Linked DNA regions of Canis lupus familiaris. The protein of the gene in region 1 purifies or fractionates together with the protein of each later gene. This does not show direct contact. Links are inferred from orthologs where the notes say so. Each region holds a gene or a part of one and is shown on either strand. Other genes may lie near its edges.

Region 1 (3,569 bases):
GGCTTTTTGTGTCTGGCTTCTTTCCCTTAGCATAATGTTTTCAGAGTTCATCCATGTTGTCACATGAATCAGTACTTCACTGCTTTTTATGGCTGAATATCTTGTTTATCCATCAATTGATGGGCATTTGGGCTAGTTCCACTTTTTGGAGATTATGAATAATGCTGCTGTGGAGTTGACATTTGCATCCTGCAGATGGTCAGGAGGAACATGGATTTCAACCTTTGTCTTTAAAGAGGAGAGCTTTACTCCTTTTTATTTTGTAGCAATTCTGTTTAGTAAGCAGTTTCTTTTCTGAAACACTTGCTTGGCTGTAAAGGTTCAACCACATGTGTGAATGTCAATGAATTGAGAAAAATGCTGTTAAGAACTTGAGTTTTCCTCTTGGCACTTGAAAGCAATATTTGCAGTTAATGATGCCAAGTTCTGGAAGTCCACTGTTTTCTGTTGTCCATTACAAGTGAATGCCGAGGAATTGTTAGCTCCTCTGTTTCACTTGAATGACTTCTTGTCCACATTAATAGAGTGTACCTGATTGCCTACAACCGAGGTGATGGCTTTCATCCTGATTAGTCATTTCAGAGAATAAAAAATAAATAAAAGTCACAGTGGCCTCAGTATTACAGAGTTCAGAATGTGCACAGAAGGTCGTGAGTATAATAAAAAATGGTTTATGACATGTACTGGGGCATAACTTCAGGCACGATGAATATTAAGAATTAGTTAATGATAAAGCAAGAACATTTTCAGACCAAGGAAAAAAGTATAGGCAGTAAATATAAGAAGCTTCACAGCTTATCATGTACAGTAGAAGAAATGAAAATTGTTTTCAAGTCCAAGCAGTTTTGGTAACAGTGTTCAAATAGTGAATTAACACAAATCAGTCAACAGTTGGCACATCTGGTATTTAGTTTGGATATAGGTTTGTGAAAAAGATGAGCTAATCTTTGCAATTTTAATGTGCCTGTTTGCTTGTTTGTATTGGTTTCTAACTGGTTCCTTTTAATGTTAGTGTCAGGAATGTTACCCAAGATTTCATTCCACATTTAGCAAGCTTCAAATGACTGTAAAATTGGTCCACCAGTTGAGTAAGCTGTTACGGGACACCTGCTGATAAATGTCATATTTATCAGGGGGAAGCAAATTACTTTTGGCCAGTAGACTTTATTGGGAAAAAATTGATTGTTTCTTAGCAGATCATGGATTAGTAGTAACTGGTCAACCCTACAGTTTCATCATTGTAATTAATGGGCTTACTGTTATTTATCAGCCATGTTAGAGGAATCTCATTGCTGTTATTATAGGATTCTTTTGTGTGTCTGGTACTATATTGAGGATTTGCCTGCATTCCTTCTTTAATCCTCTCAGTAGATACCAGTGACAGGTAGGTATCTACTAGGATAGGTACATACCAGTGACATCTCTAGTCTACAGATGACTGAACTGAGGCTCAGTGACTAAGTGACTTCTCCAAGCTTGCACAGGAATGGTGGAGCCAGGACTTGATTGTGGAGCGGACCCTAAAGCTGGCCTACCCTACTATTTACCTTCCCCTTTCCTGGTACACTAACTCTAAATGAAAATGGAAAACGTATGTATTGTGGAAGATTAAATTTCATCCATGGTTGAGGTTCTTGGATTTTGCTCTCAAAAGTGCATTCTGGTTAGAGCCTGTTCCTGGGTATTTGGTTCTCTGGCCTGTTATTACTTTGTTTTCTCATTGATTGCAATGTGACCTTAAGTAACTTCTTAATCTTTCTCAAGAACATATTGCCCCTATTTGAGAATGTTATATGACCTGGTAAAGCACACCTCAGTATTTCTAAAGGCAGCTTAATCTGGTCACTGGAGTGTTAACTTCTGCTGCTTACTCTGCCATTGATGTGTTTGGTGGTTTTGAATTAAATCACTGCATTACATGATGGTTTCCTTATCTAAAACAAAGTTAATAATGCTAGTTTTGGCTTCTGAGACTGATTTTCAGTGAAGGAGAGGCCAACAGAGCTTTCCTAGATCTCAGAGTACTGGAGGTATAGTGACTGAAATAGTGGGCCAGGAGTCAGAACACCTGGATTATGGCCTAGCTCTGCCACCTACTAACCTACTAAGCTATATGATTCAGAAGCCTCTTCAACCTTCCTCTGCCCTCCCATCCCCTTAGGAGAATTAAATGAGAAATTATGTATGTGTAAGTATTTTACACTTTGTAGGTTATCTGAGTATAAAAGATGAGATTATCCTCAAAGTGCCAAGGGCCATGAGATTATGATATTTGGAAATATCACATTTGATTTAGTCTTCGGGCTTTTGTTTAGATGACACTTCAGTTGTGTATTTTCACTTTTTCTTCTTTTTTAGTGGTATGTGTGCAACAGAGAGAAATTATGCGAATCACTCCAGGCTGTCTTTGTTCAGAGCTACCTTGACCAAGGAACACAGATCTTCTTAAACAACAGCATTGAGAAATCGGGCTGGCTATTTATCCAATTATATCACTCTTTTGTGTCATCTGTTTTTAGCCTGTTTATGTCTAGAACATCTATCAATGGGTAAGTGAATCTTGTGTATTTTTTCTTTACCCTTAGGTTTATGAAAAAAAAAAGAGGAAAGTTGTTTTGTTGAAGGTGTTGACTGCCTCCGCTACAATATTTCTACTAGTTAGAATCCTTGACAGTGGGTCCAGTCTTCAGCCTTATGCTCCCAAGTGATGTTCATAATGCTGCTAATTTCCTGTGGGAGAGTATCAAGAACTGAATTCTTAACATAGCTGAAGAGTGAAATCTTCACCTTAAGCACACTTTCCAGGAGCAAGTTTTTTTGGGGGGATTTAATCAGCGCAGCAATGTGTGATGGCTTATTTCGAGTGAAGGGTCCAACATCTGTTCTTACATAATGTCTAGGCTCACCAGAATTTTTTTTTTCCGATTTTATTTATTTATTCATAAGAGACACACAGAGAGAGGCAGCAGACATAGGCAGAGGGAGAAGCAGACTCCATGCAGGGAAGCCTGATGCGGGACTTCATCCCAGGACCCCAGGATCACACCCTGAGCCAAAGGCAGTTGGTCAACCAATGAGCCACCCAGGGATCCCTCACCAGAATTTTTTAAACTTACTATGGAAGTACCTATCTCCAGAGTGGTTCTTTTGCATAAATCCATGGAAGAAGCTTTAGGAATATTTTTTATCTTTTCTTGGCCAAATTTTCAAGTATCTCCAAGGCCCAAGAATCTAGAATGCCAAGGGGAAAATCAGTAGGGCTCACTGTTTATGAAGCCTTTTTGGACAGCTTAAAGCCACTAGTTGGGCCCACTTTTTTCCCCCTTCAGGTTTGGAGCCAGATTCTCCTGAATGTCTGGATCCCCAATCTATCATCTGGTCCTTAAATATGTTTTTAGGCACCATGAGCCATTTCTCAAGATTTCTTACTTGATTTTCTTCATTGTTTATATGAAATTGCCTTAAGTTTGCTTCAGCAAACAGTTGTTATTTTTGTATTGGTAGTTGAATTTATACAACTTGGTCTGACATTTTGTTTCTGAAATTGGCTGCACCAAGTTTCTGTTCTA
Region 2 (3,569 bases), on another chromosome or scaffold:
AGAAAAAAAAAAAAAAGTCTTCTTACTAGAACCACAGGTGGGAAGTTGCCGGGTTTAGTTTTAATCCAGAGGTTGGCAAACTGTCTGTAAAGGGACCGACAGTAAATATTTAGGCTTTGTAGCCCATATAGTCTCTGTGACAGTTAATCAGCTCTGCTCTCTGGGGTGTCTATCACAGTTACTTAACTCTGCTCAAAAAGAACAGTAACTGCCATCAGCCATTATGTGCTACTGCCATAGACTCTTGAACAAAATAGATGACCAGCATGAAGTAGTTCTCAAGTAGGGCCCTGAGGGGATTGTTAAATATACTGTTGCAATGTCAGAATATGGCAGTTGGATTAATTGTACTCATTATTTAATAAGAACAGTAGTGCTTCTTCCTAGGCAGGCATTATGTTCTTAATGCTGCATTTTTCCTCTCTGAACCGAAAAGCACCCAGATACTGTTTGGAGTAAAGCTTAGAGTCTAAGAGAGTAGCCTATCAGTGTCATCGTTCTGATGATAATCACTGCAAACTTGAAAAACAATACACAGAACAGGAAAATGAAATGTGGAAGTAGCAGTTCTTTCACAATTTTGATTAGACATGGGTGGAGGGACCTTATGCTTGTAATAATGCACATGCATTTCTTTAACAAATCTTATTTACTTAAAGACAAGTTTTATATTTGAAGTATGTATTATTCTTTACTAGTATATGCTTATGCTTTAGAAATCAAACTATAAACTTCAAAGAACTGTGCCTTTAAAGGTATTGGAAATATTCAGGTTTTTGAAATTTTATCGTGTTTAGGGAAATTAGAGTACCCTGTGAAGGCAGTGAGAGCCACTTGGTAGCAGTCCTGCTGGACAGCTTTGAGAGACTATTTTCTCTATTCTTGCAAGGAAAATAATGGCTTAAGGGCATAGAAATAACAAATTAGGAGCCGTCTGTAAATGTCCATCCATGCTTTCACATGCAGTTGGATAGGAGAATTTTAAATGGAAATGGTAAAGAAATGAAACCGTTTTGAACTAGATATCTCCCCAAAGAATCTTAACATTTTCAGTGATTCTGAGAATTGTGGTCTTTCCTGGAGAGTTTTATTGGCAATAATAAGTTGTCTTCTACTTTAGCATAAAGCAAATGTCATAAATGACCAGGTCAGTGAATGGTAACTTTAAATATATACCTAGTGCATATATTTGCATTTGTTCAGGGTTTAGGGGGGAACAGATTTAGCATTTACTTACTACATAGCTAGAGCATAAACTTTGTCAGTGTTTGGCTGAAACACGTGTCATGGTTAGCATTATGTTTAATAGAATAATTCTACTTGTAGTTATGCTTTATTCATTAGTTTAAAGTAGAAGAATGTTAAAAAAAATTAAGCAGAATATTACCCAAAATTGCTTGTAAGAATCTGCGGGTCTTTTTTTTTTTCCCCCCCAGCTTCCAGAAATGTTGCATGGTGATGGTGACAATGAAGAACATGGCTTTTGTCCAGTGGGGCAATTCATTCTTCAGAATTTAGGATTGCTGTTTGGATTTGCCATTATGCTGGTGATTGCCCTCTATGAAGACAAAATTGTGTTTGACCTCCAGTTTTAACCATTCCCAGTAATCATTGTGGATTACGAGAATGTTACCATGCAGCTTTGCATCTGTTCCTAGTACTGTATGCACATTGCTCAAAGAAAAGTCGGTGGCTTGCACTACTTACAAGTTCCATAGGTTTGAGCCTAACCACAAAAGACTGGTGCTCAGTACTGCTTTTCCCTGTGCGAAAGGGATCTTTTAACGATATAAAGCTTGTGATAAAGAAAGGAGAAAAATGGGACTCCATGAACCAATGTTGGTATAGGTTTGATTCAGACTTTTAAAAAAAAAAAAAATCATATGAAACACTAAAGTAGTCTCTTTGGTAGTAGAAACTTCTGTGGCTATGCAGAAATAGAAATTGAACCAAAAAAATCACTTAAACTTTAAAAATATTTTAAATGGACTTGGGGCAGACTTTTCTTTGTGCTAAAAATGAATTGTAGTGTCCTTGAATCCAGTTACATACATACCTAAGGTAATGGGGATCAACTCGATACAATTTTGAAACTGCATAAAGTAGGCTGTAGGAACTAGAGGAAAGCTCAGGCTGCGTTAGCGTATGAACTTAGCGTTGGGAAAAGCCCTATTCTTGAATCTAGAGTTACTATTTTTGTATATATTGGCATAGTGTTTAAACTTGCAGCCTAAACTACTGAACTTTGTGATTGTATGTTTGTGTGAGCTTCAGTTTAATGAAAGGTTCTTTGTATTAATATTATACTTGGTGTTTGGGTGTTTTGTTTTGTTTTTTCTTTCAAACTTCAATTTTGTTTTTGTTTGGGGATTTTTGGTGGGGGCAGGGAGTTTGCAGCATGTGGTAAAATGTTTTTGTTTTTTGTTTTTTGTTTTTTTCGTTAAAAATGTAATAACCCTCTAGGAGATACCAGAAAATAGAAGAACCCAAACATGGTCTAAATATTCAGTTTTCCTGTATTAACAGTACTAACTAGTTATTTGGGAAATTTAAGTTCTGAACGTAATGCATTGCTTTACCGGCCTGGTTCTGGAACCTAGAACACACGCCGTGACCGGCAGGAACCCAGGTTTACCACGTCCACAATCGGTTAGAAAGGGTTATGAGGATAATCCCCATGGATGCCATGGTGTCCCGGTCCCAGGTGACTTGGAAGAGACACTTAGTAATGCAGCTGAAACCGCTTGATCCTTCTGTGCCAAGATACGCTGCTGGTGCCTGATGGGGACTGGTCCGGAGAGGTGCCCTGCTCCACCACAATCGGGTGACTTGTGAGAAGTGCAAGCCATGTTGATCCTGCATTTTGGCCTAATAATTTGTAGTTTACTAGTCATACTGCATGTAGCTTTCTGTTTACATCTGGTGCCACATGGTCTTCATTTATGCCAGGTAAACTGTATTTGAACTCTGTGCAGGCAGCTTTGTTTTAATCTGCTTGGCTACCAATGCAGCTGCTTTAAAAATCGTAACGTTCAAATATTTAAGAGCCAAACTCCTTCCATTCCATTTAGAGTGTTTGCATTTCGCCCTCCTTCTCTCCTCAACTCCTTTCCTCTTACTTCATGAACTTTAAACAAAAAAATAAAACTTTGAGAGCAGCACATGTATCCAGGTAGTAAGAGTATTGCCAGTGTTTCTTCTTTATGCTGTAAGTAAGGAAGCTTAGGTGTTATTGCCTTGATTTATGCCTGAATTTGAAAAATTATTCCTGGCTTTCTCCAAGGCCTCCTGTAATAAGTAGAGGTTGGTTTGTTTTTGTTTTTTTCCACATAGAATATTTTCCGCATTGGGCACTGACTTAGCACAGTCCTCATCTCATTGCTTGGCCCTTCAAGCAACCTAGCTAAAAGGTGCTGATATTTTATTTAGTACTGCCAACTTGGAGTGATTAAAATATCTTGCTTTCTGAACCAAGATATATTTATAGTTCTTTTTTGCATTTTTATACCCAAGGAGGTTTCTGCATTCCAGCATTAAATCTGCTTAATTTTAAGACTTTTATGAAAAAG

The links. Proteins that work in one complex are often made in the same cells at the same time.
Region 2: the proteins of METTL9 (region 1) and SLC39A10 purify together in Homo sapiens (co-immunoprecipitation; 3 studies listed by BioGRID and IntAct, with this or other methods). This does not show direct contact. The link is inferred for Canis lupus familiaris from reciprocal best matches to the Homo sapiens genes METTL9 and SLC39A10.

What each region holds. Positions count from the first base shown.
Region 1 is NC_049227.1:23,453,143-23,456,711, reverse strand, and holds part of METTL9 (methyltransferase-like protein 9), read left to right. Parts: intron 1-2,358; coding exon 2,359-2,549; intron 2,550-3,569. UniProt on the Homo sapiens protein: Protein-histidine N-methyltransferase that specifically catalyzes 1-methylhistidine (pros-methylhistidine) methylation of target proteins.
Region 2 is NC_049258.1:5,393,074-5,396,642, forward strand, and holds part of SLC39A10 (zinc transporter ZIP10), read left to right. Parts: intron 1-1,436; coding exon 1,437-1,595; 3' UTR 1,596-3,569. UniProt on the Homo sapiens protein: Zinc-influx transporter. When associated with SLC39A6, the heterodimer formed by SLC39A10 and SLC39A6 mediates cellular zinc uptake to trigger cells to undergo epithelial-to-mesenchymal transition (EMT).